Mus musculus: one gene and its partner. The protein of the gene in region 2 purifies or fractionates together with the protein of the main gene of each other region. This does not show direct contact. Links are inferred from orthologs where the notes say so. Each region holds a gene or a part of one and is shown on either strand. Other genes may lie near its edges. The genes, in order: Lars and Iars.

Region 1 (3,814 bases), on a different chromosome or scaffold from region 2:
GTGCTCCCTGTGCTGTGCTCCTGTTTTCAACAAGAAGCAACTGAAAAGAACCCAAGTTATGGAAACAAGATCAGGAAGATCTTGAAAATATGCAATTATGCAAAAGAAACAGAGAGCACATATACCTTTGCATGAATATAAATACAGAGCTTCCAGTTCTCAGAATATGTATGAACATTTGTTTCTTTTGAAGGAGAAGCAAAGGAGAGTGGACTAAGTGCAGTGGTGGGTGAAAGGTCACGAGCACCCTGTTATCAGCACACACTGCATTATGCACTCTACAACCTATCTTAAGACTGCTGCACTCCTGCACCGAGCAGACCAGTGCCCTTGATAACCTGAAATATACATCGCATACTCTTTAGGCTGTTGACATGTGACAGGGAGAAGCACACATTCCATATTAATGCACACCGTAACAAATCCAACTAACCCTTCCATAGCCATCCCTTAAGATGCTTGAAGCCTTAAGGCATCCTTACTGACTATCAATAAACGAACCTCACCAGACTTGAGCATTACCTTTGCTCTGGCCACATGGCCACATGGTTGTAAATGTAATATGAAAGATGATTTGGAATCAGATCCTTGCCAGAGGCTCGAAGGTCCACTGGGTACCAAAACTCAAACTCCTGCTTCAACTGATCCAGCTTCTCCTTTGGGATCTGAGTCTTAGGAAATGGAGCATCCTTGAAGAACACATAATCCCAAACGTCCTTTGTCATCTGCTGGGGTCTGCATTGAAATTAAGTAAACAAATGCACTGTTATAGTGAAAGAATCAGAATTTCCACCTAATCATGTGTTAAAATTTCAATTAGTTACACTATCAAACAAGAACATCAGATCCCCTGAGAACAAGAAGGCATGATGCACAGGAGGAGCGACTTAGTCATCTTCCTCAGTTGTACAGTAGAAAAGTGAACTATAACAAAAGACTGCTAACCAAGCTCTTTTCTTTAAAGGCAGAATCGCACTACGTAGACCAAGCTGTCCTTCAACTCACAGAGAATGGCCTATCTCTGCCTGCTACATACTGAGATTAAAAGTGAATGCCTCTTGCTAGCCAAATTCTTGAGAAAAGTAAACGTGAAAGAACCAATTTCTAAATATGTAAGCCAAGATGTTGCAACGTGGGCAGCTGAAGAGCTTCTTTTCCCTAACTATGTACCAACCTGATGCCCAGTGGAGACTCCGCCTGCCCATTCAGGTCACCCCCCTGCAGCAGGTGTGCCACTGTGTAGAACGCCATGTAAATTGTGGAATCCGAGAGAGATTCGATTAACCACTGTTCATCCCAAGGCAGACGAGTGCCTACGAGACAAAAAGAAAAGAATTGATGCTGACTGAAGCTGAGACTCCCCGGCAGAAGCCACATCTCCAAGGCTTCTTATCTAGGACCTTCCCAGGCTGTTCTGGGTGTGGGCTATTGCTATTTTGGTTTGTTTGTGGTACTAGGAATTGAGCCAAGGCTCTGTACATGGTAGGCAAGCACTCGACCATTGAGCTACATCACAACCCTAAGAAGCCCTAAATTCTATAGTTTGTAAAGGTAAAATAAGTAAACAAAACCAAAGCTAACTGAACCGCTGGAGTCCTTTAATAAAAACCTCATATGGCTAGAGAGGGCTCAGTAAGTAAGAACTCTTGCTGCACACACATAAAAACCAGAATTTTGATTGCAGCACCTATGTAAAATCCTGAATCCCTGAGCCCTAGAACTATGGGGAGAGATAGGAGGATCACTGGGGCTCTGTCTGCTAGCCTAGCTCCAGGTTCCACAAAAGACTGTATCAATGAAGTAAGGTGAAAGGTGATCCCTATATAGAGCCAGACATCCTCTACTGGCCTCCACACAGGCACAGGCATACACACCCTGCTCCTAGATGTGCATTTACCTATGCATACACCATAGTCACACGCATACACACAAGGTAAATATATAAACAGATGGTAATATAAAAGCCATGTGGGTCAGAGGCTCTATCGAGCATTAGATGGGTGACTGGGAACCACATCCTGGTCTTCTTTCTCATCCTCTCGCCTAGCAAACACCAGGAGAAAGGGGGAGGGAAGGGGGGAAACAGTGCATTTTCTGTCTATCTAACAAAAATCATTCAAACACAAGTATGAGAAGTTTGCTGACCTAAACCGTACGTTCTTGAGCAAGCATGTTCTTGTAGCCAGTCTAAGGAAGCTTCAAAATTCTTCCTGCTCTCCTCGCAGAATCTAAGAAGAACAAAGGCCAAAATGTATCCTTCCCTTCATCAGCCACACTCCGCACCCCTCTCACTTTCTCCCATCTTACGTTTCCATGTTCTTCAGGCACTGAAATGTCTGTTTCTTCCAGTTCTCATCTCCATAATCCAAGTACCTGGGAGTGAACAAAAGAAGCTCTTCTTAATGTCAGAAATGACCAGAGTGACTCACGCAATTTCCTTGTTACAAGAGGGACTAACCACTGGTCACACAGGGCCACGACGCACTCATCTGCAGACCTCGACATCACTTGTTTTTCTGGCTCCATGTAGATAAGCGCATCTCCCTAAGGGAAGGTAAATAAAGACAGGGCAGATGTCATGTCCAAGCCAGCCTTCCTTCCCCAGGCTGCTGCGACGTGCCTTCCCATGCAGCTGCTGCTTCTGAGCAGAGAATCAACCGGACCACTTTACAAGCTACTCGTCATCCTAGCGCTTTCTAACCTTATGCTTTGAGGGCTGGGCTTCTGAGAGCTTTCCATCTTTGTTATAAAAATACAAAGAAAATTAAAAGAAAAACTAAATAGATACTACTGTTTTTAAAAAGAAAAAATATAGATTAAACATTTTAAAAAATCTTATTATAAACTTTAGAGCTATTACAAATTCAGTTCTAAATAGAAAACTAACTACAACTTACTTAATTTTGGTGTTTTGAGGCAGGGTTTCATTTAGTCCAGGCTAGCTTCACATCTGCTATGTAGTGGAGGGTGATCCTGAACTTCTGCTCCTCCTGCCTCTACCTCCCAAGTACTGAGATAGGTATGCACCACCACATGGGCTCTAATTTTATTTTATTTTTTACTTGATATAAATATCTCCTAATACATTGCAAAGCTAGGATAACTTTTAAAATTCAAATCCTATATTACCACTACCAAAATGACTCACTGCTCCACACTTAAAGTTCAATTCTTCAATATAAACTAAGTAGCTATGCTTTTGGTTTGTAAACAGTAAGTTAGAAATAGACATTACTCCCTCTAAAAATTCTAGCAACTGACAAAAAAGAAGATGAAGAGATGGACTGACTACAAGGACAAGCAGGTGGGGGGAGGGGGAGAAGAAAAGGAAAGGAAAGGAAAGGAAAGGAAAGGAAAGGAAAGGAAAGGAAAGGAAAGGAAAGGAAAAAGGAAAGGAAAGGAAAGGAAAGGCTGAACAAGTGAGAGCTGCTCCAGCAGGGACGAGGCAGGCTGAGGTGGGGTGTGGCTTAGTAGTAGAGAGACTGCAAGAATGTACAAGGCCCTAGGCTGAAGCCCATGTTAAAGAATCAAACAAATGAAGAGAGAAGAAAGCTGGATCAATTTTAAGCAGCAGAAGAAAAAGCTGAGGAGAAACCCCACTTGCACAGGAGATTCTCCAAAGGCTCAGAGATGAGTGGAATGACTCCATTCTGCAAGTGAAAAATGACAACCCTGGAAAGAGAACTGACCAACATCTTAAAAAGTGATTAGAAGCCCTAATACCCTAATGTGCAGCACCCAAATGTGCTGATTGGTTTTTTTATCATCAATTTAATACAAGCTAGAGTCACCCAGGAAACAGGAAGCTCAACTG
Region 2 (3,814 bases):
TGAATAAGGATATTATCTGATGTTGGAACTGGATATGGCTTCAAGGGAGCTTTGATTGTGGCAAATATGAAGTCAGTGTGGCTTTCAATGACATTATTCAAGTATCTTCCTTCAGATTTTGCATTATAGTAAACTGTTATTTCATCCGTTGGAACCAGATTGCACTAAAATAGCATACAGAAAAACTTAGAAGAGAAGCGCACTTGTTTACCAAACTAAAGGTCCTGCTGAATGAGAGCAAGTGTGTGCTGAGCTGTCATTCCCCTAAGGATACGTGTGAGTCTGGCATCCACTCTTCTGTGTTCTTTTACCCACTTCTCCCTATGGGGTAGCAGGCAGAATGTCTTTTCCTAGTGCAGTCGGCACCCTGTGAGTGCTGAGATAAAAGCTTAGCAAAGCTAACTGCAGAGCCCTGAACCAGGACAAAAGTGCCTGCCGCCTGCAGCAGTGCCCTCCTCAGACGAGAACCACGTGCCCTGAGCACCCATGCTGCTCTCCAGTTCACAGGTCCCTAGGAGTAAGCTTTCTGACTCTCAGACCTTGGAGACTCAGTGATGCCTTTTCCTGCAGGTCAAGGCTGCATGCACCTTGTTCATCTGTCCTAACAAGGAATATCACCTCAGTCTATACAGATCCAGCGATCTCTCTCCTCAGCTAAGAACCCTCCAAACTGACTTCTGTCTTACTTGGACACACTCTATCATCTCTGGTTACCCTCTGTAGCAGCAGAGAGTGATCTTTCTGGAAGATAATTCTGTAGCAGCCTTGTGGAAGCCCAAGGGAATGGAAGAAGGATGGATGGGCTAAAGCCCTTGGTCAGAGAAAGTGAGCGATACCAGGCCAGGAGTGGGTAGAGAAGGAGGGAGGGGCCTGCCTTCCCTGCGGAGTATAATCAGAGGGACCACGGATTAATGAATCATTACCACCAACTGATAACTATGGTTTATACTGCCTGCCTCGTCTCTCTTCCCCAACGTTCTAAATAAATCCAGTACAAACCCAAAGCCACAGCACGGCCCTGAAGAAACCGACTGACCTTCTTTCGAAGCTTCTGGATGCGATTGATGACTTCCCGAGCCATGCCCTCATCCACCATTGACTGGTCAGGTGTGACATCTAAGAGAACTAGAGCCTGCAGAAAGAACAGAGCGCATGGCAATGGAATAATATCGGGTCCTTCTAACTCCCTCGGTGAACTGCAGCTAGGACTGGCAGGTGGGACAGAGACAGGCGGCCTACAGATTGATCCCTGGAATTGACAGAGTCCTGCCATTTGTCCTCTGACCTACACACACACACACACACACACACACACACGCACGCACGCACGCACGCACGCACGCACGCACGCACGCACGCACACACGCACGCTGTGGCACCTGCACCCTCATACCCACGCATGTGAGACTAAGACATACATGTTTAAAAAAGACAAGGTCTTTTTAAAAAGTAGTTCCGACTGCAGAGATGGCTCAGCACACAGTGATCTTGCAAGACTCGGGCTGAGTTTCCAGGACCCCCATGGAGGCTCACGACCTTCCATATGTTTTCTAGGGTTAATTTTGGTGCAACCCAGTAACTAGGACAATAATCCTCTAGAACAAATCACGAAATGCTCACTTAAGCATCTGATAAACAAATTCAAAGGGTCAGGATCCACACAGCAGATCAAGAGAGCAGCTCAACAGGGAATGGACCGATGCGAGGCAGGTTAAAATATGTGCCCCCCACGTTCTCCTCTGCTGGTGAAAAATATTCTAGGAGGCTGGAGATGACGTCACAAGCCTGCAATCCCTGTACTCCCCAGAGGTGGAGGGAGGAGTTCCAGGACATTCTCAGCTACACAGTGAGTCCAAGGCCAGAGGAACTACATGACCTGGTCTCAAAAACATCAATCAATCAATCAATCAATCAATCAATCAATCAACCAATCAACTTTGAAGGAACACAAAAATACCTGAGCATCAGAGTGTGCTTCAAACTGCGCGGTCCCTCCCGTGGCCTGGTCAAAGGTGTACATGAGGCGAATGTCTTCCTCATGCAGTTCGTGGCCTTCCACAACAATGCTCCCTGTGGGAAAGGCAGACTGTCAGCGTGCCGTGCCCTCCCTTGATGACCCTGGCATTCTGCTGCCTACCAAGGGTTGGTGCAAGTGAAATGAGGGGACAGCGTGAGGTGCTGGGTACTGTGTGTCTGCCAGGGGCAAGCAGGAGGAAGTGTGGAGAGCTGTTGATGGGTGACGTCCTTTAGGAAAGCCCACTGTAGCCACTGTGCTAAGGCTGACTCTAGAAGTATATAGAACTGGAGGGAAATCAGGCAGATTATAACAGGACACCAGCACCCCGAGGCTGCAATAGCAAGGTGGGATACCAAGCACCTGTCTAGGAAAGTCACTGGTATTTACAGCTGAGTTCTTATGAACAGGATGAAGGAAGGGATGAAAACATTGCTTAAAGATGAAGTGGTCCTCGGGCGAGGACACGGAGGCGGACACCCACCGCTCTTCTGAAACCGCTCCAGCTCCTCATTGCTCAGCCGCTTTATGGCCATCATCACCGCTTTGAAGGCCCCCTTCAGGCGCTTCCCAAGGACCATGTGATCTGGTTCAGCCCTTAGTCGGATACCGTACTTGTTTTTATCAGTAGACAGCGTGACTTTTCGAACATTTAATTCCTACAGCGAGTACCAAAGGAAAAGCGAAACTGTGAGGCACAGAAATCTGTTTCACATTGGACATGCAGTCGAACATCCATACCAGCGCTATTCACAGGAGGCAAAGAGCAGATATAACCCAAATGCCAGTCAACCACTGAATGGGTGGGGCTGTGATGTGCACATCTGTGATCAAGGCATCAAGGCACATAAATGCTTGCCTGGAATGTGCAAGGCCCTGGTTTGGATCCCCAGTACCACACAGAGAACAAAGCAGGTGTGACTAGGTAAAAATAAAGCATGGTTTATACACACACTGGAGTGTTTAGCAAGATAAAAGAATTATGTGAATGAACTGTACAAACATGACGCTGAGCAACACAAGCCACACACAGTAGATGACAAACTGTTCTTTATGAAATGTCTAAAGAAGGCAAATCCACAGGCAGAAAATATATTTGTGATTACCAGTCGACGATCAGATTGTAGCGAATGATGAGGGAGATTAGCCTTCCTTTTAGATAGAGGGGAACGGTCTATGAGTCTGACACTAGGTGCAACTCCACAACTACATCTAGAATACCATCTGGGATGGCACAGAAATGCAATGCTCTTGTCGAGACCAATCAAGTGAGTTGAACATCACTAAAAGAAGCCAAGGTTGGTACTGGTGCGTGCCTTTAATCTCAGCATTCATAGCACAGAGGCAGGAGATCTCTGTGAGTTCAACCTGGTTTACATGGAGACCCTGTCTCAAAACAAAAACTAAAAATAAAGGGGTGGGGTGGGCCCTGAAATATAAATTCATCTCTCAAGGGCACACTTACACAAGCAATCCTGAGCACTATCATTACCATTTAACCAAGTGTGAAATCACATTACTTCATGCCACTGTGCTAGTGACATATTTCCACTAAACAGGGAACATTTGCTTTGATCCCAGCACACAGAAGGCTAAGACAGGAGAACTGAGTCTAAGACTAGCCTAAGCTACAAAGTGAGGCCCTGTCCTGACACCTCTCAAAGGCTACATATATAAATATATGTATGCATAAATGTGTAAAATCTTGGGAACCTTTCTCAGAGGGCAAATGAAATCCTGGAGACAGGGAGGGTGTACACTGGCCCACCTTTTATTAGACATACTACCCCTAGTGCATTC

Evidence for each region.
Region 1: the proteins of Iars (region 2) and Lars purify together in Homo sapiens (affinity purification with mass spectrometry; 7 studies listed by BioGRID and IntAct, counting the BioPlex papers as one, with this or other methods). This does not show direct contact. The link is inferred for Mus musculus from reciprocal best matches to the Homo sapiens genes IARS1 and LARS1.

The regions. Positions count from the first base shown.
Region 1 is NC_000084.6:42,227,484-42,231,297, forward strand, and holds part of Lars (leucine--tRNA ligase, cytoplasmic), read right to left. Parts: intron 2,545-3,814; coding exon 2,459-2,544; intron 2,374-2,458; coding exon 2,308-2,373; intron 2,229-2,307; coding exon 2,146-2,228; intron 1,314-2,145; coding exon 1,175-1,313; intron 736-1,174; coding exon 523-735; intron 1-522. UniProt on the Homo sapiens protein: Aminoacyl-tRNA synthetase that catalyzes the specific attachment of leucine to its cognate tRNA (tRNA(Leu)).
Region 2 is NC_000079.6:49,723,477-49,727,290, reverse strand, and holds part of Iars (isoleucine--tRNA ligase, cytoplasmic), read right to left. Parts: intron 2,674-3,814; coding exon 2,499-2,673; intron 2,071-2,498; coding exon 1,958-2,070; intron 1,133-1,957; coding exon 1,037-1,132; intron 165-1,036; coding exon 1-164. UniProt on the Homo sapiens protein: Catalyzes the specific attachment of an amino acid to its cognate tRNA in a 2 step reaction: the amino acid (AA) is first activated by ATP to form AA-AMP and then transferred to the acceptor end of the tRNA.